7 linked regions of the Ovis aries genome follow. The protein of the gene in region 1 interacts with the protein of each later gene in a pairwise test. Links are inferred from orthologs where the notes say so. Each region holds a gene or a part of one and is shown in the gene's direction. Other genes may lie near its edges.

What was found.
Region 2: the proteins of ATPAF2 (region 1) and LRRFIP2 interact in binary tests that used the Homo sapiens proteins (3 or more experiments, as listed by UniProt). The two-hybrid records come from large-scale screens. The link is inferred for Ovis aries from reciprocal best matches to the Homo sapiens genes ATPAF2 and LRRFIP2.
Region 3: the proteins of ATPAF2 (region 1) and RPIA interact in binary tests that used the Homo sapiens proteins (3 or more experiments, as listed by UniProt). The two-hybrid records come from large-scale screens. The link is inferred for Ovis aries from reciprocal best matches to the Homo sapiens genes ATPAF2 and RPIA.
Region 4: the proteins of ATPAF2 (region 1) and PKP4 interact in binary tests that used the Homo sapiens proteins (3 or more experiments, as listed by UniProt). The two-hybrid records come from large-scale screens. The link is inferred for Ovis aries from reciprocal best matches to the Homo sapiens genes ATPAF2 and PKP4.
Region 5: the proteins of ATPAF2 (region 1) and SORBS2 interact in binary tests that used the Homo sapiens proteins (3 or more experiments, as listed by UniProt). The two-hybrid records come from large-scale screens. The link is inferred for Ovis aries from reciprocal best matches to the Homo sapiens genes ATPAF2 and SORBS2.
Region 6: the proteins of ATPAF2 (region 1) and TRIM23 interact in binary tests that used the Homo sapiens proteins (3 or more experiments, as listed by UniProt). The two-hybrid records come from large-scale screens. The link is inferred for Ovis aries from reciprocal best matches to the Homo sapiens genes ATPAF2 and TRIM23.
Region 7: the proteins of ATPAF2 (region 1) and RAD54B interact in a two-hybrid assay, tested with the Homo sapiens proteins (2 studies listed by BioGRID). The two-hybrid records come from large-scale screens. The link is inferred for Ovis aries from reciprocal best matches to the Homo sapiens genes ATPAF2 and RAD54B.

What each region holds. Positions count from the first base shown.
Region 1 is NC_056064.1:34,281,896-34,285,479, forward strand, and holds the end of ATPAF2 (ATP synthase mitochondrial F1 complex assembly factor 2), read left to right. Parts: intron 1-935; coding exon 936-1,048; intron 1,049-1,427; coding exon 1,428-1,543; intron 1,544-2,263; coding exon 2,264-2,401; coding exon of another isoform or gene 2,402-2,481; 3' UTR 2,482-2,681; downstream 2,682-3,584. Other genes in the region: DRC3 (dynein regulatory complex subunit 3), read right to left, coding at 3,233-3,346, 3,451-3,582. UniProt on the Homo sapiens protein: Plays a role in the assembly of the F1 component of the mitochondrial ATP synthase (ATPase).
Region 2 is NC_056072.1:10,384,087-10,388,732, forward strand, and holds the start of LRRFIP2 (leucine-rich repeat flightless-interacting protein 2), read left to right. Parts: upstream 1-1,731; 5' UTR 1,732-1,965; intron 1,966-4,646. UniProt on the Homo sapiens protein: May function as activator of the canonical Wnt signaling pathway, in association with DVL3, upstream of CTNNB1/beta-catenin.
Region 3 is NC_056056.1:59,395,538-59,399,491, forward strand, and holds part of RPIA (ribose-5-phosphate isomerase), read left to right. Parts: intron 1-957; coding exon 958-1,026; intron 1,027-1,698; coding exon 1,699-1,840; intron 1,841-3,593; coding exon 3,594-3,693; intron 3,694-3,954. UniProt on the Homo sapiens protein: Catalyzes the reversible conversion of ribose-5-phosphate to ribulose 5-phosphate and participates in the first step of the non-oxidative branch of the pentose phosphate pathway.
Region 4 is NC_056055.1:151,057,261-151,061,214, reverse strand, and holds part of PKP4 (plakophilin-4), read left to right. Parts: intron 1-1,315; exon of another isoform or gene 1,316-1,661; intron 1,662-2,334; coding exon 2,335-2,887; intron 2,888-3,954. UniProt on the Homo sapiens protein: Plays a role as a regulator of Rho activity during cytokinesis. May play a role in junctional plaques.
Region 5 is NC_056079.1:15,017,246-15,021,199, reverse strand, and holds part of SORBS2 (sorbin and SH3 domain-containing protein 2), read left to right. Parts: intron 1-1,977; coding exon 1,978-2,066; intron 2,067-3,439; coding exon 3,440-3,486; intron 3,487-3,954. UniProt on the Homo sapiens protein: Adapter protein that plays a role in the assembling of signaling complexes, being a link between ABL kinases and actin cytoskeleton. Can form complex with ABL1 and CBL, thus promoting ubiquitination and degradation of ABL1.
Region 6 is NC_056069.1:14,060,388-14,064,341, forward strand, and holds part of TRIM23 (E3 ubiquitin-protein ligase TRIM23), read left to right. Parts: intron 1-1,621; coding exon 1,622-1,743; intron 1,744-3,808; coding exon 3,809-3,954.
Region 7 is NC_056062.1:82,849,152-82,853,105, forward strand, and holds part of RAD54B (DNA repair and recombination protein RAD54B), read left to right. Parts: intron 1-158; coding exon 159-384; intron 385-655; coding exon 656-863; intron 864-3,954. UniProt on the Homo sapiens protein: Involved in DNA repair and mitotic recombination. May play an active role in recombination processes in concert with other members of the RAD52 epistasis group.

The sequences.
Region 1 (3,584 bases):
TGAGACATGAGCTCGGTGCCTGCAGGTTTTTGCTGTGGCAAGAAGTTGTCCACTTTTGGTGGCAGTTAAGATTTCTCACCTATAATATTAATAGATTATAGGAAAATGTGGCCCCTTCCTGTGTTTCATTTGTACTAGAAACTTCAGGAAGAATGTTTCTAAACCGATGAGAAAGATCAGCGATATATGAAAGAAAATTACAAAAATTGCTTTCATTTCATTACATTTTTCCTGCATTTTACATAGCTATGCTTGTTCTTGAAAATGTTTTGTTTTTGAAGCCAGCTCATGCCCGCTGGGACAGTGCCTTGTGTGTGTGATGGAGGCTTATTAATAAACGTGTGAAAAAGTAATTGACTGATACAGGATTGTGGCTTAGTCGGTAAAGGAGCTGCCTACAATGCAAGAGATGCAGGTTCGATCCCTGGGTGGGGAAGATCCCCCGGAGGAGGAAATGGCAACCCACTCCAGTATTCTTGCCTGGACAATCCCATGGACATGGACAGAGAAATCTGTCAGGGTACAGTCCATGGGGTTACAAGAATCAGACACGACTTAGTGACCAACCACAGGATGTATACAAATACCATTGTAAGGAAAACAATATTTGAAAGAAGCCTTTTATGGTTCACATGTGAAGACTTCCTTCTAAAAAGCAGGCAGCCCACAGCTCTGATGGACCTTCATGCCAATGAGTTCAAGTTTCAGGAGCTGCCTGTGGCCCCTGCTTCCTAACTTGCCAGCCCTAGCTTCATGCATAGTTGATCTGTCCTCTGCTCCTAAGGGACAGAAGGTTATAGGTCAGGAGGCCTGATGGCAGTGGCTCCCAAAACCCCCAATGGGGCCTGTGTGTGCTGGGCAGGCCGGGGCTTTGCTTCTGGGCAGTAGCGGGGCTGTGCAGCTGGACAGACTCACGCGGGGCCTCTTCCTTCTAGATACGGCGTGGAGATCGGCTCTTCCACCAGCATTACGGGGCCCAGCATCCCTGCCCGGACTCGGGAGGTGCTGGTCAGCCACTTGGCCTCTTACAACATGTGGGCCCTGCAGGGTGCGTGGTGTTTCCTGTGGGCCATGGAGGGTGGGCATGATGGGCATGGTGTGCAGAGCCCAAGGTTACCAGAGCACTGGGTTGGCGGGGGAGACGCTGTCACCTGGTTCATGGACTGGCAGGCTCACCCCTCCCAGGAGGACGTGGCTGTCTCCTCTTCAGGAGCCTCCATTCCAGTCCCCCTGTCCCGGCTATAGTCACGGGGGTGGAGCGCTCCCTCTGACGGGCAGAGCCAGGTCTGGTACCTTCCCAGGCAGGGGCAGAGGAGGGACTCCTGAGGAGAGCAGAGGCTCCTGAGAATGTGGAGGGGCTGGCACCCCACCTGGCGGCTCCCTGCACACAGCAGGACCCCGGGGCCAACCTGGCTGTGTCCCCGTAGGGATTGAGTTTGTGGTGACCCAGCTCAAGTCCCTGGTGCTGACCTTGGGGCTGATGGACCTGCACCTGACGGTGGAGCAGGCTGTCCTACTGTCGCGCCTGGAGGAGGAGTACCAGGTGAGGCGGAGCTGGAGCCCCACTGTGGTGGAGGCTCCGGGTGGCCCCCCAGGTGCCCTGGGGCCGCCTGTGTGCTCACGGAGGCTAAGCCTGGACACGCAGACAGGCACCCTGGGTCACCGAGGCTGCTTCGAGTCCATGTCTGATGTAGTGGCTCAGAATGAACAAGGCTTGGCTGCTCTGCCGTTGGCATTTTTTTAACTCAGAATCACCATGTTCTCTGCAGTTCCCTTGTTACTTCTCCAGCCTCAGAAGGTTAATTGCTATTACAAATTGACTCCTAGCATGATGAAAAGCCTTTTGTAATGACAGTTTTTCCCAAGTTGGTCTAGTTATCTGCTTGGAAAAATGTCAGGGGGAGAAGCTGGTTTGTGTCACGAGAGAGCTGGCAACTCTGGTGTCAGGGCCAGCTGGGTGGGAGCGGGGGCGGGCAGCAGGAGCAGGAAGCCTGGCTTCTGGTCTGGGCTCTGTCCTTGGCTGCAGGACCCAAGCGGGGCCGTTGTTCCTTGAACCTCACTTTCTCCCTGACAAACAGTTCTCTGAGTATAAAACGCTCTTCAGATGTTGTGGACACCCAGAATGCAGGCAGGTCCCAAGTGTGAGGGTGGGCAGGCCAGGCCTCCACTCTCACCTGCCGCTCCCCTACATGCCTCCTCCCCTCAGCCATGGCGGGTCATGGCTTTGGCAGTCACTCTGCAGCCTGTCCCGTCCTCTCCTCAGATCCAGAAGTGGGGCAACATCGAGTGGGCCCACGACTACGAGCTGCAGGAGCTGCGGGCGCGCACGGCCGCCGGCACCCTATTCGTGCATCTCTGCTCCGAGAGCACAGCCATCAAGCACAAGCTGCTGCAGGGGTGACGCCGGCCCTCAGCCTGAGATGGAGATGCTGTGGCCAGTGGAGGCTGGTTTGGGCTGAGCCAGAGCGCGGGTACCAGTGACTGGTTATACTGAACGTTTCTCCGCCTGGAAGTGAGAGGAGCTGCCACTCATCTTGTTCCTACTGTCATGTCTGGGTCCCGGAGGCCACCCCGCTGACCTGCAGGACACTTGTTACCCACCAGGACTTTCTTGTCTGGGAGGTATTAGTGGCCCTCAACCTTTTTTTCCCCCTGGTTTTTAATCAAACTTTTAAAGTGAAGCTGTCTGTTTCTGTTGTTTCCTACTGTTTTAGCAAAGTGATTTACTTTTGAAAACAGAAAACAATCTTTTTTGTTCCTGGGTTAAAAGCCTGGGCAAGGTCACCTGACACGCACACATCCTGTTCAAGGAGCCACTGCAGGGCCCTGGCACAGAGGGGTCTCAGGTGCCTGGGCCCAAGTGAGGGAGCGGGAGGAGTCTGCAAGATTCGGGCACAAAGGCTCCAGAGCCACCCAGCCTTGCTCACCTGCCTCCCCTCCCCAGCACTGTCCCCACACCCTGAGTGTGCTGGGAAGAGGTGCTTGTCACCTCCCCACCTCACAGATAACACCAGCTGCACTCTCAGCTCTGGAGGGTCCTTGGGTCCTCACAGCCTCCACCTTGGAAAGCCAGCTGGGCCCCTGAGGAAGGGCCTGCCCTGGACAAGAAGGGGCAGCCAACAGCCTAGGAGCCACTCTAAGCAGTCACCAGCTGCTCAGATGCAGACACAAAGAGGATGGAGAAAGCTGACAGAAGTGTTTTATTTCTCTACCTGTGGAGTGGGGGTCAGCCCTAGTCCAGGAGGTCCCCACACTCCAGGCTGTCCAGCTCGCTCTGCACGTGGTCGATGTACTGGTTGATCTCCTTCACACGTTTGCGGTTCCTCATGATCTCATCCTTGTGAATCTGAGGGCAAGGCGGATCTTGAGACTGTCTGCCTGAGTCTGCCCCACCCCCACCCGCGTGTGGTTCCACCCCCTGCCACCTGCCCTTGCCACACATCTGCTCACCTTGTCCAGCAGGTGTGTGCACCAGGAGTTGACCCTGGTCACCAGCTCATCCTCGCGATTGTCAATCTTCAGGAGGTGGATGTCATGCGAGGCCCCAACTGCGTTAACTATCGTGTCTTTGTCAACGAAGAGCT
Region 2 (4,646 bases), on another chromosome or scaffold:
CTTAGGCAAATCATTATTTCCCTGAATCTCAATGACTTTGCTACTAAAATGGGTATAGTAATTCCCATATCTCAAGGTTGGTCCTAGTACTGAAAGGGATAATATATTTAAGAGTTTAGTAGAATGTTGTGCCAATACTGTGTGAGCACACACACCCACACACGTATTTGTAGTATTTATTTGGCTGCACCAGGTCTTAGCTGTGGCTGGAAGGATCTTTTTCCTTGTTATTGTTATATGCCTGATGTTTTAGTTGTGGCATGTGGGATCTGTTAATAGTTCCCCAACCATGGATCTGAACCCCAGATCCCCTGCATTGGGAGCACGGAGTCTTAAGCACTGGACCACCACGGAAGTCCCTTCCAATCCTAATATCATTCCAAACAGTCTTTCCATTAATTATGCAGTCATATAAACTAATACTTAATAAACATTATTGGATTATTGGTATTATTCAGGTACCTGAATAGGTTCTCTCTTGCAAGTCTGCTTTTTAGTTTAACTGAGTTAGCAAAACACGTAATTAATCCTTTTATTCAGATCGTAACATAGTGTGATCTTTTGGGGACATTAAGCCCCTCTTGATCCCAGGTAAAAACAAGTTTCAATATTTGTTCACAGGTCTGAGAAAAACAGCGACATGGAAAGAGAAAGAGCGCGAGGTTAGAGACTTTGTCTTTCCAAGGCTGATGGTATGAGAATCCTCCTGCCATGAAGCCACCTGTTGGTGTCTCTCTGCCTAAAGACCACAGTTCCGTAATCCACGCCTCCCTCGCAGTGCCACACTCCAGCCCTCATGAACTCTGAAAGGTGAGCAAGCCTTCTGAAATCGCAGGGGTGGGCAGCACACAAACAGCCCTTAGAAGGTATTCGAGCCAGGCTCTTAACATGGAATCATGGGCTTATTCAGCGGGTCCTGGAACCTACTACTGTCCCGGATGTAAAGTTGTATCGAAGTGTTTTGTGCCTTCTTCTCAGGAGGCTGCCCAACTGCCACTTCCCTCTGGAGGTCTTCTCCTGCCAGAGGTCTCGCCTACAGGATCTCTCATCACTTTGTGTATCACCTGCGGAGTCTCACCGCAATCTGTCATTACCTTATTTGCTTAAATCCGTCCACCCCACTAGAAGATGAGCTTCCCAAAGAGCAGGACCTCTGGTCTTTCTCCAGGGCCCTGAAGCCGGTGGATCTCGACTGAGACTCTCGGACTGAATGACAGCTCCGAATCCATCAGATATTGAACGGACTCTTTTCCCCCCAGCCCCGCCCCCAGCATTCTTCACCGGAAATCATTTCAAAATCATTCATTTTGGAAATAAAGCTTCCAGCGCTTCGGCCGCACCCACCCACCTACGTTCCAACGGTTAGAACTGCCGCCCCGGCCCACTCACCCAAGCCCTCTAGGCCGGACAGTTTAGAGGTGACCGAGGCAGGGGTAGCCGCCAACGGGCACGCGCATCAGTTCACATTCCCGACCCCCGTCCTGGGGGCGGAGGGGCGGGGTGGACCGCGCGGACCTGGAGGAACCACCTCAGGAGGCCGCCCCAGCCACCACCCTACTCGGGGTCCCCACTCTCTTCTGCGGCGGCACGCAGCCGGCCGCGGGGGGTTAAGCCCGTCGCGCAGCGCGCGCCGCCGCGACCACAAGTACTTCCGGGTGAGCGGGTCGCCGACCCTGTGGCCCCGCCCCTCCTCCGCCTCCGCCGCCCGCCGCTCGGGCTGCGGCTCCTCCCGGGGGCCGGTTCCCGCTGTCTCAGCCGCGGCGCCGAGGGGACACCGGCGTGACTGACTGACCGGCCGTAGGCGCCGGGAGCCGCCGCGTCCTGCCCGGCCCGCCTGGCCGGGGACCTGGGACCGAGTCTACCTTCCGCGCCCCTCGCCCTTAGCTCCGGCAGGCTCCCGGTCGGCGAGCCGCGCTCCGGCCCTTCCCGGCGGCGCCCGCAGCCACAGCCCGCGCCCGAACACAGGTAAGGGCCGCTCCTCCCGCCAGCCTTGGCGGGGAGCGGGGCCCGCGCTTCCCGGCCTCTGCAGCTCGGCGAAGTCCGCGCTGCCGCCGACCTCTGCTGGGGGCCAGGCCCCCTCCAGCGGGCCCCGGGGTCGAGGTCGCCCCCTGCCTGCGGCGTCCTCGGGCATCACGCCGGGTCTCGAACGCGCAGCCTCGATCCGCGAGCGGGGACGGCGATACTTCCATTGTGGGAGAAATGAACTCGGGCCGCTGTCTCTGCTCTTTGGGTGCTAGGGCTCCTCCTCCCTCTCCACTCCCTCGGTCTGTCCCCGGCCGGCCACCCGGGGAAAGGTGTCAGGCTGGTGGAGGGCGTAGAGCTTGTATGAGATTTTTTTTTTTTTTCCCCTTCCTCCTTGACCCGAACTGAATGAAGCAGGAGCAGAACAAGCGCTTGTTAGGAGTGTCAGGGTTAATGCTTGACTACGGCCAGGCGTTATTCACACCCAGATTGTTAAGTTATATAGCTCCAGCCGGGCCTGCTTCTCGTGCCCGTGGGTATGTTGCTGGAAGCCAAAGGACCTAAGGAAACCCATCTCTTGTTCTTTCTTCGACGGGGAGGGGAAAAAAAGTTCAAGTGTTTGCTTTGGTTTTTCTACCGTGGGATATACAAATATCAGGCTGTGGAGACCTGGCCAGGGAAATAATGGGATCCTAAACTTAAACTGCTTGTAGCTCTTTTTTCTTAGAGTTTCCATTTAATGACTCAGCACTTATGCCCTAAAAAGAAAAAGTGTAGTGTAGGTTCATTGATTGAAGGATAAGTGTGAGGATAACAGTGTCCATTACTTTTTCACGGCATCACAATGGGAGGAGAATGGGGATGCGGTAGTGGAACCAGAGAGATGGAGGGCAGGGTGTGGATGAATCAGGTCTTAATTAGTGTTTAAAATAAGTGTTTCAAGATTAAATGTTTATTTTGGGGATGCATCTGTTTGGAGAGGTGCAATTGTTGGAAAAGGCAAAGTGTTGCAGATAAGTTACTTGGCAGGAACTTGAGGTTGCTGTGGTTTGAAGGTCTTACAGAATTAACTTAGTTTAACCAACTTCATGCTGTGTTCAACACATGTAGAGATGATGACTATTATACTCATGTAGAATAAGAATTTCAGAAAGTGTGATTCATTGAGGAAGTTAGGTCACTCGCTGTGTGAATGAATCATTGATAGGGTTCTTAAACTTGGAATAGAGGAAAGTTTGAGGTTTGTTACTGCCTGTTTAATTAGATACCTTCACTCCTAGGAAGTGTTGCATTGAGGCTTTTGTTAGGTTTGTTGCTTCATAATTATTGTCATGAAGTATAGTAGAGAAACAAATAGTGGACTTTTGCAGAAGCTTTAGGATTTAGAACAGTTAGTTCCTAAGTGGATTGTTGTGATTTTACCCACTCTAGGAAGATAAATGTCTAGAAACAAAATAAATGCCAGTGAAAAGGACAGCTACCATCATTAAGGTAGGAAAAAGTTCACTCAAAGAATCTGCAGTACAGAAAACAAGCAGTCGTTTGAGGGAAAGACCTTACCCATTTGGGAAAATCTGCCCTTAAAAAGGTGGAATGAGACTTTATACGTGCTCAGTTGTGTCCAGCTCTTTGTGACCCAGCGGACTTTAGTCCATCAGACTCCAGAGTCCAATCCGTGGAATTCTCCAGACAAGAATACTGGAGTGGGTTGCCGTTTCCTCCCCCCAGGGCATCTTCTGACCCAGGGCTCTCTCACCTGCCTCTGCTGCACTGGTGGGCGGATTCTTTACCACCGACACACCTGGGAAGGCTATACAGAGCTCCTGCTTCAGTTCTGTCGTAGAAGAAAGCGTATATTAAAGTAGTGATTCATTATGGGAATGAATTCATTTTAAATTAGAAATAACTTTTAATTACTGGAATGTAACTTGATCATTTTTGGCTTTTAAAGTGTTGCTAAGCAAAATGACTTTGACTCACAGAGTTCTTGATACTCTTAGCCTTGATTTCTTCTATTTTTGGAAATCAGCTTATTTTATGTTGATTTATAAAGAACTGTATAGTTAATTATCAATTATTAAGTAATGGTAAATTTGCCCTGTTGATCTTGCTTAGTAAATTCTTTTAATTCTTGAACTAAATTTTGGCATTTTATTTCCTTGGATATCCATTCTTATATTCAGAGTGTTCCCTAATATTGCTTTTGATTTTTGTCCAGCTAATGGTGAGTTTCAGTTTCCAGTTGAACAGAGATTCCCTTTTGGAAAATCCCTTGTGGAAACCACCCGAACTGACAGTCCTGATGGGTAGATTTGTAAGAGAATCCTTCTTAGGTCAGGATTTAAGCATCTCCACAATGAAGGGAAAAACTGATTCGGAGAATATGTTTGGCAAAGTAGATTCTTTTTCTCTCAAAACAACAACAGATCTTTACTAGAAACGAGAGGGAGCAGTTTCTTGCAAAGCTCTTTGTGAATTGTTTACCCTGCTCCTAGTGTGAAGAGGAACAGAATCGAAAATATATGGGGGGGGGGGGGGGATCTCCCTGCACCATGTTGGGAATGTTGATGAGGATCATTTTAGAGGAAACACATTCTGTCCTCACCACAGGTTCACTTTCCATCGTACCTACAAATAGGCGGTTGCATAGACCTTTGCCTTTGCTTTCTCTCTGGAGAATCTGA
Region 3 (3,954 bases), on another chromosome or scaffold:
AGCCAAAACAACAAAAAAAATTGCACAGCCTAAAGCAAACACATTACTGGGACTAGATTACTAGGTCTGTGGGCTCTGAGCAGGGAGTGGTGTGTGTATTCATTCCTTTGGAAAACATTTATTGGGTGTTTCTTGAGTGTTAATTTTGGGGAGTTAGGAAGTGGTGAGCTGAAGAAGGTGAAGTCCCTGTCTCCTCGTTCTTGTAATCAACCAGACTCTGGAGTGACACAAAATGTGCTTAAAGTCTCGCTGTGCTCTCTCTGCTTCCTAACTGGCTGTCAGATGGCAGAAAGGGCAGGTTGTTCAAAGGGGAGTAACCTCCCCTTCATGCCACAGTCACATGACCTCCCCCAGGCACTGTGCTCCTTAGCAGATGCGTCTTAGTTGGGTTATGCCTGTGGCCCCACTGGGAACCCTTTCTCCCGGACACAGACTCCTGCTTCCACAGTCCATTTTCTGGAAGCAGCAGGTCTTAGCCCAGGTGCCATAACAAAAATCTTAGACGTGGTGACTTCAAGGGAAAAATTTGTTTGTCACAGTTCTGAAGCCCTGGGCTTGGAGATGGCTACCTTTTCAGTGTAGCCTCCTGTGGTGGAGGGAGAGAGAGTAAGAGCCTTTTGGTATCATCTTAGAAGGATATCCATCCTAATCAGAGCAAAGCCCCACTTCAGTAACCTCACTGAACCACAGTTACTTCCTTAGAGACCTCATCTTTCACATATAGTCACGTTAGGGGTTAGGCCTTCACCAGATGAATTTTGGGGGGCTGAGGGCAGGAGACACAATCTGCACCGTGTGATAGAGTTCGGGGGCTGTTCCTTTAAGAATTAAAAATTAAATTTCTAAGTGTCAAAACTGAATGGATTTTGGTTTCCTATATCTGACTTTAGTTCCCAAATTCAGATTTTGTCTTACTTAGCCCCATGTTTGTTCCTTTGCTTCTTCCCCATTCCCCAGAGGCTGCCTAACCCAGGAGAAGATTGTGGCTGGCAATGCCAATCGATTCATTGTGATTGCCGATTTCAGGTACGATGTTCAGTGTTTCTGAACTGTCCACTGAGGAGGTGCCTCAGACGCCAGCCCGCATTTTATGGAGGAGAAAAAGAGCTTGGAGGGAGGGGCACTCCTTCCTGTGACTCAGGAGAGTGCCTTGGACAATTATGTTCTGCTTTGGTGCTGAAGGAAGATACTGCTATTTCTTGTGTCCGCTTGAAAGAGGAAACAGATGTCACACTCGTTAACAGAGCATGTCCTTATTGATCACTCATTCGCTCCATTTGCTCCCTGCAAGGCGTCTCGGAGGAAGCGGGTCAAGCCTGCCCCTGGGCACCCCTGCCTCCCCTGTGCCACATGTGACTTGTGTTGTGGACAGTCTTTGACCAGGCTCTCAGAGTCTACTAGAAGGCACTTATGCTGAGCATGTTAATTAAAAAAAAATTACAGCTGTAGGAAGAGCATAAATGATTATGTTCCTCACACCTGTTTAACCACAAGTCAGTCATATCCAGGTTTTAATATTTTTGTCATATTTACTTCACATACTTTTTTTAAAAACAGTAGAGCACAGCCAGTCTGTTTGAAGCCCTGTACACTTGGCCCTGCCCTCTCACCTCGTTAGTAACTCCATGCCTGAATTTGGCATGTCTGTACCACTGAGCTTATTGACATCTGTTGTACTTCTGACTCTTTTCTTTCCAGGAAAGATTCAAAGAACCTCGGGGATCAGTGGCACAAGGGCATCCCCATTGAGGTCATCCCTATGGCCTATGTCCCAGTGAGCCGAACTGTGACCCAGAAGTTTGGGGGCGTGATTGAACTTCGGATGGCCGTCAACAAGGCAGTGAGTGGCTGGAAGGTTTCTGGGAGGTGTCCCAGGCTCTCAGGGCCTGTCCTCCTGCTTCCGTTAGGTCCTTTATACCCAGACTGGGCAGGTGGCTCCTGTGGATTATTTATCGGCTGCACTGTGTCTTCATTGCTGCTCAAGGGCTTTCTTTAGTGTTGGCGAGTCAGGGCTACTCGAGACGCGTGGGCTTCTCGTTGTGGTGGCTTCTCTTGTTGCAGAGCACAGGCTCTAAGTGCGTGGGCTTCAGTAGTTGCAGCACACGGGCTCAGTAGCTGTGGCACATGGGCTTGGTTGCCATGCGGCATGTGGAATCTTTGCAGGCCAGGGATAGAACCCTTGTCCCCTGCATTGGCAGGAAGATTCTTAATCCACTGTGCCACCATGGAAGTTCTGTTTATTTTTAATCAGCCTATTGGCTTATTTTCAGAGCACTGGCTATATCAGTTTCCATATTCAAACTCATGTAGACAAGACTATACTTAACACACTGTATATTCCCTGTACAAATGGGCACATTTTCTGTCCCTTGGAATCTGATGCTCCTCGGGTGATCTGATCTTTGTACCTGGATCTCTCTAACAGCTGCTAAAAATGGGTTTGGGGAGTCCCTCCTGGGGCAGAGAGTTATTCAGGTTTTGTGGTATGATTTTCTTTTTTCCTCTTTTCTCATCCTGTGGTTAAATGAAGTAGAGTTCCTTGGGGGGATGTAAGCTCCTCCCCAGAAATACACTCCAGATACTTAGTCCAAACACTTCACTTCAGCTTCTAAAGTGGGTTGAACAGAAATTTTTTTCTTACACTTAAACAAGCAGAAGTAATAATTCAAAAATTAACTATAGTTGCAGACAGAACTATATATAAAAAGTTTGAAACATACAGGAGAGAAAGCAACTTATCTGTAACTCTTCCCTGATGAACTTTTATTTTATTTTAATGTATTTTCTTCCTGGCGTTTTGTGACTTTTTAAAAAACCAGTCTTAATCATAGTTGTTACACTGAGCTCCAACTCTGGCTCCCTGAGTAGCTGAGGATTCGAGAAGAAATTGTCAGGGTTCTTTCTCAGAGCTGGGGTTCCTCCACACGAGAGCCCAGCATCTTGCTTTTGTGTGTTCTTTCTGGGCTCCCACTCCCCCATTTTGCAGAGCAGTCTTTGTGTTCTGGCAACATTTGTGGTCCTATATGCTTTCTAGTGCCCAAAGCTGCTGTGTGATACTGGGTTAATTAACTAAAAGTACCCCCAGCCGCTGTGACCCCAGGACCCCTCACTGCTCCATCTTTTTGTTGGGTCTACCTGATCTGGGGGGAAAGCTGTCTCACGTTGCATCACTGATGGTTCTCAGTGTAAAGCTCTGGGAGCACTGAGCCATACTGGTTGTCTGTTCTCTTGCTGTAGTTTCTCACTCTAATGATGGCTAAGCATCACTGTGCCCTCACTGTGGTAAATGCTTACCCATGTGGTTTATGCATGAGCTGCCAAAGGAGGTAGGTTTCATTATCCCTTTCTTGCCATAGAGGAATCTGAGGCTCACAAAGCAAAATGGCCCCTGTGAGATATCTGCCTCAGTGGCTTCAGGACTCCTGCTCATGACTGCTTCATAGCACTGCCTTCTAGTAATAGAAAGCATGAGGTGGGAGTACTGGTTGGAGTGGGTTGCTTGATACTTGTCCTTGGTTATCACCTCCACTCTCCTGCCCCCTCTGCCTGCCTGAATCTGTATCATCTCGTCATTGTGGGCAATTATCTTCTAGGGTCCTGTGGTGACGGATAATGGGAACTTCATCCTGGACTGGAAGTTTGACCGGGTCCACAAATGGAGTGACGTGAACATAGCCATCAAAATGATCCCAGGTAACATATATTCTTGAGTGTAGACACCCAGGCTCTTCATAGCCGTCCCCTGCCTCTGGCCATGGGAAGCACAGTGGCTTTGGCTTTGAGACTTGTGTGGGAAGAATTTGCTTTATAACATGTTTGGAATTTCTAACTTTGCCTTTGCCTTTTCCTCCTGAAAACAGTTACTGCTCACTTAGCAGCTTTGTTAGTTGGCATTTCACAACCCGTTTCAATTGGGGCAGGCATGGGGCCGATGGTGTGTCAGGGGGCTTGCCT
Region 4 (3,954 bases), on another chromosome or scaffold:
GTTCCTCAGAATACCAGAGCTGAAATGTGCTGTGAGGAGTCCTAGAGGGGCAGAGCACAGTTCCCACGCTTGTATAAAATGGGACTGGTCCATTCTAACCAAAGGTTTTGCCTCATCATTGGAATTTTTCTCTGAAAACACGTATCTTTGCTAGAATATAGATATTGCTGCCTATAGAAATCTAGTGTATAGAAGCATAACCATTCTGTTAAGTTAGGATTTACTTATTTGATATTAATAATAATAGCGCATATATATTTATGAAAACTCCTTAGCTCCTCACTCATTGCCACTTTATTCATGCAGTCTTCCAGCATATGCCAAAATTAGTAGAAGTTATAGGAGTCCCAAGCGGCAGTAACCAGTAAGGATGACTTTCTGGCCAAGTGCCCCAGTGATTTCTCTGGAGCTGAAAAATGGCACGATGATCAAAGAAGTTAGTCTAACACTAATCTCTTAATGCAATACAGGAAGCCCTGAAGGTACACACAGCAGTGGGCCAATTTCTCCAGTGCCAAAGGAGAAATACAATACAACTTTAGCTCAACAATTTAAGGGAAACTTTTAAGTATTAAGAAACATTTCTGTATTAAGACAAACACAAATATGGTGCATGAATTTTTAAGCTAGGACAGGAAGTCTTGTGCCCATAGCAAACTGCTTCTAGCTGCAACACCCACTCCCCATTCCTCAGATAATACATTTACTCCTCTGCTGTTCGGGATGCACTGAGGGAATGGTTTGACAAGCTTTACACTCAATGTTTACAGATGTTCACCTGCTTAGGTCAGTCTCTATGTCGGCAGGTCTAAAGTCACACTTCTGAATAATAATTACAAAGATTTTCTATTTTGCCCCTAAGGTGGTCATGTTGACTTTTTAATTTTTTTTTTTTTATCTTAGGTAAGTTGATTTTGTTCCTGGAAGTTGCAAGGGGGTGTTTAAATTTGCATGTATTCTGGGAAACACAGATTGTAGACATCTGAGCCAAGTGTCATCCTTTTTTGATAGTAAACAACTTATATGTGGGACTTTTAAAATTACCTTTAGTACTATTAATAAACCCCAAGCACAGATTTTAATTTTCCAACCGCCTACTAATTTTTAAACCACCTCTTTCTTGCCTTATTGTTTATTTACAGTCCCCTTCCCTCCCCAGACCTCCTCCTTTCCATGGCTATTGCCTTCACAGAATTCTTGAGTTTGAGCACCTGAGTGGTTTCAGACCCGTGTTTCAGGCAACCAGTTGCTTGTGATACATGGAGACAGAGCATATCTCCTCTTATAGCATCTAAGAATACACAAAGTCCTTGAGTCATCCCTGTTTCTTCCTTTATTGCCCCAATTAAAAGTAACAGGAGGTTGATGACAAGTGAACTCTAGTCATCACTAAGGAAATACAGAAAGCTCAGTTCTGAGCTTGTAACCCAACACCCCAGTCCAGCCACTATTCCTTTTTATTGTCATCCTGCATGAAGACAGGGATCTGAGATGCAATATTTGCAAGAGTCTGTGGACTCATAGGACTGGCCATGGCAGAAATGTTCCTTCTTTCCCAGCTGGCCAGAACCCAGTGGAGATTTTGAGCATCCCTCCTGCTGCAACAGATTTGAGGGCTGATTATTCGTATGTCTTTCAATCCACCAGCTTAAGACAAGAGCCTATAAATCAAAGGAGATAGAAAGAAATGGCTGAAATCACTAGCAGCCACATTGAAGCTAAAAGAAAAGACAGATTTGGCTAGAGCACTTGTACAGTGCTCACAGAGGAGACCTTTGGACCCCAGACCCTATCCAAATGTTCACTTATTCCACTTACCTTCCTTTTGCAAATGAGGTCAACTCATAAAGACAGATACAAAGACAATTATAGATACTGCTCTAACTTAACGTATTGAAAATGTTTTGTTTTACACAAATGGGTTACGTTAGCCAAACTTAGATTTACAGGGTACAAAGTAAGTACACTATTCCAGTGACCTGTCACACTTGAGATACAACATACTATGTGTTGTGAAAAGTGCATGGGCAGAGGGTAACATCAAATAAAGACAAAAGTAAAAGGAATATTAAATGTCTTTGAATCTCTCCTTACTGGTTGGTTTTAGTATTCTGAAAGGGAAAGGTGGAGATTAAATCACCAAAAACCAAAAAAAAGTAGAACAAGAAAAACAGAATAAGGAAAAATTAAGATTCAGCTCTACAGCTCAAAAGGAAAGGAAACGCCTGAAATAGTGAGTTCACCTTCTGTAGTTAGCTGTGTGCATGCTTTTCTGTAATGACCATGGATACACAACCCTGGATAAACCATTCTCTTTTCTCCCCCTTCCATCAGCCATCAGTGGCCAATCGGGCCATGAGAAGAGTTAGTTCAGTTCCATCTAGAGCACAGTCTCCTTCTTATGTTATCAGCACAGGCGTGTCTCCTTCAAGGGGGTCACTGAGAACTTCTCTGGGTAGTGGATTTGGCTCCCCCTCTGTGACTGACTCCCGGCCACTGAACCCCAGTGCATACTCCTCCACCACATTACCTGCTCAGCGGGCAGCTTCTCCATACTCTGCACAGAGACCTGCCTCCCCATCAGCCGTACGTCGGATTGGGTCGGTCACCTCCCGGCAGACCTCCAATCCCAACGGACCAACCCCTCAGTACCAAACCACCACCAGAGTGGGGTCCCCACTGACGCTGACGGATGCACAGACTCGAGTAGCTTCCCCATCCCAAGGCCAGGTGGGGTCATCGTCCCCCAAACGCTCAGGGATGACTGCCGTACCACAGCATCTGGGACCTTCACTGCAAAGGACTGTTCACGACATGGAACAATTCGGACAGCAGCAGTATGAAATTTACGAGAGGATGGTTCCACCTAGGCCAGACAGCCTGACAGGTGAGTACAAGCTGACACCTATACAAGCCCAGTGGGAAAGTGTTCCATGCAACCATTGCTAAAACAGAGCATATAATGTGGAAAAACTTTATATTTTTATCTCAAAATTTGTACCGTAGTGTACCGCAGACTGCAGGCTGACTTTTCTCTCAGGCTTTATACTTTTTAATGCATCAAGTTATACACATTTATATCACCAGACCTCTTTTGCAATGAAAACATTTCCCTCATCCCTCAGAAAACTAGGATATAAAAGGTAGGTACTTTTTGCATATTAGAAGAACTGGCTAGAATTCTAAACTATTGATTGCGGTTGTTCATAGTGAAATATTTTTCACTAGCTAGGCCTACCCATTGGAGAAGGAAATGGCAACCCACTCCAGTGTTCTTGCCTAGAGAATCCCAGGGACGGGGGAGCCTGGTGGGCTGCCATCCATGGGGTCGCACAGAGTCAGACACAACTGAAGCGACTCAGCAGCAGCAGCCCTACCCATACTCGAAACCCTAAATTATGTTAAAAGATGGTATCAGAATGTCTATTCAAATATAATACTTTTTTAAAGAAATGCCTTGCTAGTGTAGACTAGAATATGGATTTCCTCACCTACTGCTTTGATTTTTAGCACCCCAATGGGAAATGCACAAAGTTCTTATGAATTGCCTTCAAATGCCACTTGGATTAAGTCAGAAAGACACCGACCAGATCACTGATAGTACAGCTGTTTCTTTCAGAGTTTTCTCATCGTGGGTTTTCTACAGGATGTACAGACTTTTGATTAAAATTATATTCATCTTTAGCTAGTAAAAAAAAAGTTAAAACTGTGCAGGAAAATAAAAATTGTGAAATGAAAGTCTCAGCCCCCTCTTACCCTCACCCAATCCCACTCCCAAGTTTATGTGTCTTCCAGACTGTTTGATTACATATATAAGTATATACATTACGTATAGATGTGGACACACTGTATTTTTTATGCTGTTGGAGCTCTATTATGTATATCTCCTATACCTTCTTTCTTTTTTAATGTATCTGAGGGTTCTACCTCATTCTCTCAAGGGATGCCTAGGAC
Region 5 (3,954 bases), on another chromosome or scaffold:
GGAATCAAAAGGGATAAACAGTTTTGCAGCTTGTTGTTGGGGTTGAGATCACTGTTACATAGAAATGACAAATTAATCTTATTTACCAGTTTATAAGAATTTCAAGACAAATCACAATTGAATATCAGTATCCTTAAGAAACTGACAACTTTGCATTAACTCTTTTTTCATTGTGTAAAAATGAATCAAAATCACTAGTTTAACATCTTTTCTTTGATTATATTAACTTTCTAGTCACTCGCCCAATAAATAATTTGCTTACATTCTATATAGAAGATAAAAAATTAGCACACTCAGGAAGCAAAACCAAAATATGTAATGTAGTAATTGATGGGCAATTAACAGATTAAATAGGACTTGTTTAATAACTTTCTTCTTTTAAAAGATACAACTGATAAAATTTTTGTGAATATATCTTTAAGCTGTATATGTAAAAGTCATATTTCCATCAGTCATTTATTCATTTTCTCTTCCTCTCCATTATTTAACTTATTTTCTATTTCTGCTAAAACAATCCTGTACTGACATCTGAATTAGATTATTTAGGATAAAAGTGACTCTCAACTTCATTTTCATAGATTTCTTAAAGTGGAACACAAGAACAAATACAGAGGACATTTTTTCAGGTATACATCACTGGAAAACACAGGATGTTTTGATATTTTTATCCAATCCTTTTCATTAATGCTTAAAGTGCATTTGTTTACTGTGTAAATTTTAAGAAGCTGGAATGAATTTTCCAGGCTGAAACTTGGATTGTTCACAGAATTTTTTAGCACCAGACATTCCAAAGTGCCTTACACATATTTTCTATGTAAGGCATAAACTTAGATGATAGATATTATTGTAAGCACTGTTTTACAGATGAGGAAATTAATACACAAAGAGGACAATAAATCTGACCACAGTCACACAATGAGTAGGTAGCAGAAACAAGATTCAAATTCATGCAATTCAGAATTTGAGCACAGAATGTATAACCCAACTCTTAGTAACTATTGCACAAATTTTGTTATCTTATTAGTATTTATGTTTGTTTTCATTTATACCATATGACATGCTTCAAAAACAGTAAATTTACATTTTTAAAATCAAAGTCAGCAGCTTGAAATTTTCACTGATTGAGACTTGTCATAATGGAATGTTTTCATAAATTATCTACCTTTTCCAGTTATTCAATATCATTTACATGTCCACATATAAAAGCATAAGATAGATACTTGCATTTTTATTTTATAATGCAATTAACTGTGTATATTTTGTTTTAAGGCAAACAAAAACAATGCAACAGTTCATAAGCCATTGGCCACCAGTACGACACTTTCTGTTTAGAAAACTTTTATCCTTTTGTTTCTTGGGATAAATATTCACTTTCTAATCAGATAGTTGGAACACAAAGGAAGCAAATAGATGATGGCCTATTAAGCCTTAAGCCTTAAGATGTCATCTTCAGACTCAATAAGTCACTAAACACAGAGAGAAAGAGAGAAGAGAATGGTCACGATGTAGTTCTGCCATCATATTTTTTTGTTTTTCATTACTACATCCTTAAATTGTTCCATAACACGCTTCAGTTTTTATAAACGGTTGCTCCCGTCTTCAGCTTCTACAGGCTCTATCATAGTAATTATAAACTGGTGGCAAAAAGAACAGCAAGTATTACATCTTTGAGATGAAAAATCCCTGTAACTTTGAATTACCTATAGTTGGTGCTGCAGCATAATTATATCAGCAGTGTAACAATTAAACCTTTATATTTATAATACTTCTGAAATCTTGGATTCTTTTCCTCTAAAAGTGCTCTCTTTTGTGTCTTATATCACATCTTTGTAATTACCTATGAGTTTTAGGCCTGTGTTTTCCATTGTGGTGTCTTTCCACATTTGAAGGGGAATATAGTTGCCACCAGGGAAAATGGCTAATCAAGTCTGCTTTTGATTATGTGGATACTCACTCTGGCCCTGTCCTTTCCAACAGACCATGAGTCCCCTAGGAGTTACTCGGCCACACTGACTGATCTTGGAAGGACCGCACCCAGGGAAAGAAGAGGAACTCCAGAAAAAGAGGTAGTCTGCTTAGTGGCACTTGAGTCTTTTTCAACAATATACTTGAGAAAGCATTTGCCAGCTGAAGTTAGTGTAAAACCAGTTAAGAGCCCTGATTAAAAACATTAAAGTGTTGATGGAGAAACTAGAAATTAGTTTTCCCTGGAGACCAAGCAAAAGATTTGAAGCCACGGCATTCTAACCTGAGCAGCACGTCTCCCCCAGTTGTAGTCCAGTTTTGAGAGTGACTCTCTGAGTCTTAACCTGACCTATAGATTAATAGCTTTGTCTGAAACAGTCTTGAGCTGGGCCACCCCTTGGAGGAAGAAAGCTTTCCCTATCGAGATTTCTGGCCCAGCGATGAAGGGGACAGTCCTATCAGCTGTGCTGCAAATCAATACAGATTCCATGGAAATAATTTTTGCTGCCCTGCTCTTTTGGGGGAGGATCCCTGAAAAAAACCCCGCTGTTTCTGGGAACCCCCAGCCTGCTGGCTCTTGTCCGTGGTCCTGAGCCAGGACTGATGGTCTGGCTTGTACTATCTTGGAGCCATGAAGGTTTGATAAAACCAGAAGGCTAGTCCTGGACTGTCAGCCACTCCAGAAAGTTCTCTACCAGTGTCTAACACAGTCCAATGCCTGTGGATCCAGGATCCAAAGCCAGGAATGATCCAGGATGCCCAAAGTCCACCAGAGTCTCAGGGAAAGAGCAGTGAGAGGATGATTGGCATCAGAAAGGAAGAGCTCAGGTATGTAGCTACAGGTGCGCCAGGCAGATCTGTGGGCCCCAGAGCTCGAGTGTGGGCTCGTGTCAAATCTGGTCAGGACTCAAAGATGAGCAGCTGGTTTACTGGGTGCTGAAGAGTTCCTGAACTCCCCAGGGAATACAAAATGACCAAATCCATGCTTTTGGCCACTAACTAGCCTCTCCATGATAACTAGGCTATATTTCTTTGCTACTATGTTAACAAGTGTTTGGTAAAAGGAGTAATGACTTCCTTCGTGACTTTTTCCAGTCCTTTAATTATGGCTCAGAAGCTGTGTCAATACTTAGGACACAGAACAATTGATCTTCCACAGTTATCCCAGGAAAAGCCAAAATTATACATAGGACCAAATCCTCTGCAGACATTTTATTCCCCTTTCATGGCATACATTTACCTTAGTCCCTAAGATGAAATGTGATATTCAACAATTATGGTGAATAGGTCATCTGTTATAGTTTAACTATCTAAAAAGAACCAATTGATTTGCTTATAAATTGCATATATGATTTACATTGTATATGTTTAATCAATCCTTCAAGTTTCATTTCTCTTTAATTCATATGAAACTGATTTTTTAATAGGAAATCCAAAATTTTAAGTTAGCATCAACCATTTCCTTCCTTTTCAGAAACTGCCTGCAAAAGCTGTTTACGATTTTAAGGCTCAGACATCCAAGTAAGTATAAGCATTCATCATATGATTTAAGTTGACTTTACATACATAAATAATACATTAAAAGACAAATATTGCACTGTGATGTTTTACAAATAAGACCTAGTTCCCAATTCAGCAATCAACTCTAATTAAGCGGTTCCTTTTGAATTAATTGGGATGTGGGCGTAATTTTATTTTCATATTGAGTTTCATTGAGAAACATTGAGTTTTAAATTACACTAAATATGTTTGAGCACAATGAGTTCAAAAGGATACGAAAAACAAAACGAAATTAGGTTTGTTTCTAGAATTTTCATGTCAAGAGTGAAGTAAAAATAAAGTGTTGGGGAGTAATTAACACTTAGAGAATTTGATAACATTTATTTATCCAACTATATCAAGGATAGTTTGTGGTTAAAGACTATAACTGTGTACAAAAACTCCAATAGTAAAAATCACCATTTCTCAATACTCAGAGCTTAAAGACTC
Region 6 (3,954 bases), on another chromosome or scaffold:
TCTCTCTTGTCATCACCAACCCCTGAGATGTTATATGAGCAAAAAGCAAATCTTTGTTGTTTTAAGTCATTGAGATATTGATTTATTTTGATAGTCACAGAAAAATTAAATGATATCTTAGGCACTAGATAGATACTGTTTAAATACTACTGGGAGTTTATGTGTTTGTGTTTAATATATAATTAAAGTATTTGGATACTGTCAAGATAATACTTTTAAATAAAGGACTTAGTGTACTTCTTAATTTTTTATAAACAAAGTGGATAGAACCCAGTTTGATGTAGAATATGTGTGAAAAATTAAATCAGTTCAGAAAGCCTTGCTAGGATGGCAAGACAGGGGGGAAATGCTGGGTAGGGGCTGCATATAGATACTTGGGAAAGGAGGTCACAGAAATCAGAGAGGAGGGTAAAGATATTTAGCCTAGTTAAAAATATTTTTTTGAAGAACCATAACTAGAAATGGCTTTTTTCCTTACCTTTTCTTCAGCTTTCCTTCTTCCTTCCTTTTTTTCTTCCTTCCTTTCCTCCCTTAGAAAAGAGGGGCCAAGAAGGACGGAAGCCTTGTAACCATTGACTTCATCATTCTTTTGTTTTTTCAATGAGTATGTATTAGGTGGCAGCTTTGTGTCAGATGGTATTTGTTGTATAGAAGCTCAGCGTAACAGATATTCCTTCTAATTTCCAGAGGATCTGTCTTTTATTTATAGTCTTAGGAAGAGTTTGTGTTTATGTGTGCTCATGTGTGTGGCCACGTATGGATGCACATATGCTTGTTCACCTGGCCTTTTATGGTCAGTTCTGGGGAAAAGAGGCATTGGTCCTCATTCAGATGTGCCCTAAAGTCTTATCTACCTAAAAGGGAGTATCGTCAGACTTTAGTGTGAAACTCTGTGTATGTGTGTGGGAAGGAGTTTATATATTTATTGATTGCCCTTAGGGTTCTAGGTTAGATGAGATATGGGGAAATGTCTTTAGCTGCTGTAGTTCCAGTTTAGAGATGGATTTATTTTAGGTTAAGTGTATCTTTCTTTCATACTGTGATTTTCAAACATGCATCATATTTTATGACCATATTTGTGGTCATAAAATCAGTTTAACTGTCTGTGAATAATATTTTTTAAAAAGAAATAGGATAAAACCAATCAGTTTGTTGCACACTGCGAGGGTGAATTTTGGTTTGTAAATCTTCTGTTTCAGTGGTGTGTGGGTGTGTGTGTGTGTGTATTAATTATACTGGGTTGCAATGTAAAATATATTTCTTACTGTAGGTTGCTGTTAAAAATATTTAAAGCAAAAAAAAATATTTAAAGCACTTTTTTTGGATATATAGTAAAAGTGAGGAAATAGAATTTATAAATTATAAATTATATTGAAGTTAAATTATAGAAAAAGAATAAGAAAAGAAAAAATGTTTCTGCTTAGAATGCTAAGGAGTTCTGTGTTTTAAGGAGAATATTAATATTGCTGTTATATCATTAATAGGAAGTGGAGGAATTTTGAATTTTGAAAATTTAAACATTAATGATTGAACTGTGAGACATTGAAATTACTATCAGGATATGGGGTAAAATAAATAATATTCCATTTTGTTATATTTAGTTTATATGTTTATATTCTAGGAGATTCAGGTGTCTGGGGACTGAAGAAAAACTTTGCTTTATTGGAGCTTCTGGAAAGACTACAGAATGGACATACTGGTCAGTATGGAGCTGCAGAAGAAGCCATTGGGATATCTGGAGAGGTATCGATTGAACTGTTGAAATATTTGTTAAATTTAAAATATTTGCCATTATATGCACAATATTACCTTCACTTGCCCTATGAAGTAGGATGCCAGAGACACAACTTTTCATTACATTGTAGTTCTGAAGGCAACAGAATCCCCAACTGAAGAAAAGCAAAACTGAAGCTTGAATTCTCTGAAAATATATGCAAACTCTGTTTTTTGTATGAACTTGTTTCCTTATCATCATTAGTTCTACATAAGGGTAAAGTGGAAGAGTAAGATTATGGATGAATACGAAGGATATGTAGCCTACTTTAAAGCAGAGGATGCAAAAGTGAATCATTCAACAGTTAAAGCACAGAGAAAGAAAGAGGAACTCCATGAAAGGGACCTTTTAGCGTAGAAACAAAATGCCTTACAGGTAGCCATAGCTCCTGAGGGAATTACTATTAAATATCTTCATGAAAAGTTAAATTGTATGTAGATGTACTCTCTTTATCCAGACAGGTTAGTGTCCAATAATTATTAGAAGGCCATTAACACAAGTTAAAATACACATTTTTAGCATAAAATTTGTCTATATAACTCATAGACTGTTTTGAATATAGGAATAGTTGTTCAGTAAATAGTTAATAATTTTAATGAACACCTTGAAAACCACATGTTTAGTATCAAGGAAAATGTCAGATTGACTTTTTACTTCTCTTTTATTAGACCATGATTTCCTATATGAAGTGAATCAATGAAAGTAATCTCAAACTGAAGCACTGTTTTCTAAAAATTTTGCAGTTCTTTCCCATGATTTATCTTTTACCTTTAGTTTGAAAGACATTGAGGATTATCTAACATTGATCTTACAAATTTGTCAGCTCTAGAAAGCAGAAGACATGACTTTTTAATTTTATACATAGGCATTTTTCATAGTTGTAAGCAAAGTTGTTTAACTTTGGGTTCATTTTTTATTTACTGTGATACTGAATGATACCATTGATATATTTTCTAATTTTTATTTCTACAGAAATTTATACCAAATCTTTCCCTTTCCAGTTATGGCCTTTTAGTATTTAGAAAAAGTTTTTGAAGCATTCTTGATTATCTGACATGTAAAATTGACAACTCAGAATGCTTTTTAACTAATTCATAAAAATAATAAACATTTATAAGGTTACATGTAACATTTTTATTTTATTTATTTTATTTTTTTCTTAAATTTAATGATTTTCAACCAGGATAGTGCAGTGGACTCAGCTATGGAGTTTTAGAAAAAATACACAGCCTGGACTTCATCTACACCTATTGAGCAATGGGTATTTCTCAGGTTGGAGTCCAAGCATCTTTTTAAAAGCTTCACTTGGTTATCTAAGTAATAAAATTTGTGCTTCTCTTTTTCTATACATTATGCTGACAAGTATATTTAAAGCAGGGGGGAAGTATTTACTATCAGTTCTTTCAGTCTTAAAAAACACAGACTTCTATCCTCTATTGTTCGTTTCTTGTGTATAAAGTGAGGGGATTTTGCAGTAGATACCTTTGCACTGACAGTGAATCTAAAATAATGGTTTTATTTTTGGCCTCAAATTCGTAGCATATATTGATGATCAGTTTTGGAAATAGCTTTCACTTACCTATAGACGTGAGTAGTGAATGACCTTTGTATTTAATGATCAGTTTATTTTTATATATATAAAGATTATGGGCTTTTATATTTCAAAATTTGGCATGTTATAATGATTGGGGTTTAGTTTAAAAAATTTTTTTAAAATCAAAGTATAGTTACTTTATAATATTATGTTAGTTTCAAGCATACATCAACATGGTTTGGTTATACACAAACACACACACATATTCTTTTTCAGATTCTTTTCCATTATAAATTGTTATAAGATACTGAGTATAGTTCCCTGTGTTGTACAGTAGGTCCTTGATGTTTACCTATTTTATATATAGTAATGTGTAATTTATTTCTCCTCCCTCTCCCTTGGTATCTCCTTTGGTAACCATAAGTTTGTTTTCTGGGTCTCAGTCAGTTTCTGTTTAATAAAGGGGTTTAGTTTTAATACATTACTTTTTTGTTTATCAGAGCATCATTCGTTGTGATGAAGATGAAGCTCATGTTGCATCTGTATATTGCACTGTATGTGCAACTCACTTGTGCTCAGAGTGTTCCCAAGTTACTCATTCTACGAAGACACTAGCAAAGCACAGGAGAGTGCCTCTAGCTGATAA
Region 7 (3,954 bases), on another chromosome or scaffold:
ATCAGCTGAATAAAGAGCTAGAAAATATGTTTAGTGGAGGCTAGAATTCATCCTAATTACAAAATATCAGCTTCTGGTTTTTGACTAATAGGTGATGATGTTAGGGGCATAAAATATTTTCATTTTGTAGTTGAAGGAAATATAATTATTTCTAACAGGGTGAATGGCAGATGCGGAGCTATTCTTGCCGATGAAATGGGTTTAGGGAAAACACTGCAATGTATTTCGCTTATCTGGACCCTACAGTGTCAGGGACCCTATGGAGGCAGGCCAGTAGTAAAGAAGACACTTATTGTCACACCCGGAAGCTTGGTGAATAATTGGAGGAAAGAATTCCAAAAATGGCTAGGAATCGAAAGGATCAAGATATTTACTGTTGATCAGGTAAGAGACTTTTGAACATTTAGATTTGGTCATTTGCTAAATCTCTGGCTTTTCAAATCAGTGCTGCAGCTTTCACTGTCTATCTAGCAGTTTTTCAAGTGTATGTAGTTCTCTTTTTTTCTGATAGATGGAATCTTGCCTTACAATTTCGTTATGAGTTAATATATTCTAATACCTAGATAATGGTTTTCAGGAGTATGCTGGTTTTATTTAATTTCACATAGTTTTTGCCCATGATTTGTTAAAGGTTACCCTTTTTTTTTTTTTTAAGGACCACAAAATAGAAGAATTCACCAAATCTCCATTTTATTCTGTTCTTATCATCAGTTATGAAATGTTACTTCGTTCCCTGGATCAAATTAAGAGTGTAAAATTTGATCTTCTAATTTGTGATGAAGGGCATCGTTTGAAGAACAGTACCATTAAGACAACTACAGCCCTCATTAGCCTCTCCTGTGAGAAAAGGATAATTTTAACTGGTCTGTATTTACTTTGGGTGAGATATGATGGTATTTTGCCTAATGAATATGCAGAACTTGTAGTATGATATTTGACATCCAAAGAATTGATGATATTGAGTGGAATTCATACTAATCAACCTGGGTTAGTTGAGTCTCTGTAGGATTCTGAATTATCAAATTCCTGTGTAATGTTTCCCAGATTTTGGATTCTTTGAGGAATAAACACGATGGTATCATGGTAAAGAAAGTAGAAGATGGGGCTAGACTGCTTGAGCTTGGTTTCCAAGTCTGACAGCTGTGCAACTTTGGGCAAGTTATACTTCTCCGTACCTCAATTTTCTTAATGTGTGAAATAGATTCTTTATGTTTTGAGGGTCAAATGAGTTAATTCATGTGAAGTTCTTGGAAGACTGCCCTTACATGATAAGTGTTTAATACAAATATCCTTTATTTTTCCATGTTTGTGCTGTATGCATATGGTTTTTTGCTGGCCAAAGCTTCTAGCCCAGGTTGTCTGGAAAAGTGGGATAGACTGTACATAAATGTAAGAATACTTTTCTGCCTTATCCTTTTTAGCTTAAGGCCTAGACTAAAATTAGGCCTGAATAACTCAAAGGAATTATTTTCCCATACCTCATTTTGGTCTTGTGTGGTGCTTTGAACTTACCATTTTGGTAGCAGGAGAAAAAAGTTGTCTTTACTAATGTTTACATCCCTTCTGTTTTCTGCTCAAGACTCTTTTTGCTGATCATCTTTTATCCTTTTAGAAAGGATGGGCAGGGCATGGTTATTTTTATTGGATTATATCCCACGTCTTTGTGTCCTCCATGTGTCCTTTATGCATGTCAGAGCTCCCCTGTGATGTTAAAATGAGGGAGAAGGGGTGTGACCAACAGCTTATTCCTCCAATATACATCTTCAGGGTAGAAGTGTGCTGTGGAGCAACAGAGAAACCGCCCTCCTGCTGTGCTCTCAACTGAGTTGGGCTATAGAGGGTGCCCACTTTTAAATAATTTATGGCTATTTGACTTCCAATTTGTGTAGAAGGATTGTATTACCATTACCAAATGTGATTTTTGAGACTATATATGCTTTTTAGAAATGATTTGGGGAACTGTTAAATGACCTTTACATTCCTCATATTTAGTCAAAGTGGATTCTTTATACTTCTTGACTAGCCTTTGATTTTTGAAATCCTTGGGGCCAGAAAAGCAATGGAGAAAAGAGCAAAGCAGAGATTATTTCTTTTTACTGCTCAATGTGGCATCAATATTGCTTATCTAAATAGTAGTAATAGCTATAGTGTTAAAAAGATTGGCATTCAAGGGGGGAAACAAAAATAAAGAGTGAGAAATTCAGATTACTTTTGGGTAATAATAATAGGAGAATAAAAAAAAAGAGGACTTCCCTGGTGGCGCAGTGGATAAGAATTCACCTGCCAATGCAGGGGACACAGGTTTGGTCTGTGGTCTGGGAAGATTCCACATGCTGTGCAGCAACTAAGCCCGAGCACCACACCTACTGAGCCCAGGCTGTAGAGCCCAAGAGCCACAGCTACTGAAGCCTGGCTAGAGCCTGTGCTCCGCAACGAGAGAAGCTCCCTCAGTGAGAAGCTTGCACAGCATGATGAAGGAGTGGCCCATTTACCACAGCTAGAGAAAGCCCACACGTGGCAACCAGACCCAGACCCAGCACAAAAAAATGGATTCTCTTCTATTTGACAATCAGATAATGTCCTTTAGCAAAAGTGAACAGTTTTACTAGTATTCTCAATTATAAGAAAATACCAACTTAACTAGCATTACAAATTAGATTTTATTTTGTTGTTGTTGTTTAGTCACCCAGTCTTGTCCAACTCTTTGTGAGTCGGACAGTTTGATTCAGTGACTCCCATGCTAGTAAGATCATGCTTAAAATCTTGCATGCTAGGTTTCAGCATTATGAGAACCAAGAAATTCCAAATGTCCAAGCTGGGTTTAGAAAAGGAAGAGGAACCAGAGATCAAATTGCCAACATTCGCTGGATCATAGAGAAAACTAGGGAATTCCAGAAGACATCTACCTCTGTTTCATCCACTACACTAAAGCCTTTGATTGTGTGGATCACAACAAACTGGAAAACTCTTAAAGAGACGGGAATACCAGACCATCTTACCTCTCTCCTGAGAAAGCTGTATGTGGGTCAAGAAGCAACAGTTAGAAACCTGTTTGGAAAAACTGATTGGGTCAGGATCGAGAAAGGAGTACCACAGGGCTGTCTGCTATCACCCTGTTTGTTTAACCTATATGCTGAGCACATCATGAGAAATGCCAGGCTGGATGAGTTACAAGCTGGAATCAAGAAAGGTGGGAGAAACATCAACAACCTCAGATATGCAGATGATACCACCCTTATGGCAGAAAGTGAAGAGGAACTCAGAAGCCTCTTGATGAAAGTGAAAGAGGAAAGTGAAAAAGTTGGCTTAAAGCTCAACACTCAGAAAACTAAGATCATAGCATCCGGTCCCATCACTTCATGGGAAATAGATGGGGAAACAGTGTCAGACTTTATTTTTGGGGGCTCCAAAATCACTGCAGATGGTGATTGCAGCCATGAAATTAAAAGATGCTTATTCCTTGGAAGAAAAGTTATGACCAACCTAGATAGCATATTCAAAAGCAGAGACGTTACTTTGCCAGCAAGGTCCGTCTAGTCAAGGCTATGGTTTTTCCTGTGGTCATGTATGGATGTGAGAGTTGGACTGTGAAGAAAGCTGAGTGCTGAAGAATTGATGCTTTTGAACTGTGGTGTTGGAGAAGACTCTTGAGAGTCCCTTGGACTGCGAGGAGATCCAACCATTCTAAAGGAGATCAGTCCTGAATGTTCATTGGAAGGACTGATGTTGAAGCTGAAACTCCAATACTTTGGCCACCTGATATGAAGAACTGACTCATTTGAAAAGACCCTGATGCCGGGAAAGATTGAGGGCAGGAGGAGAAGGGGACAACAGAGGATAAGATGGTTGGATGGCATCACTGACTCGATGGACATGAGTTTGAGTGAACTCTGGGAGTTGGTGATGGTCAGGGAGGTCTGGTGTGCTGCAGTCCATGGGGTCGCAAAGAGTCAG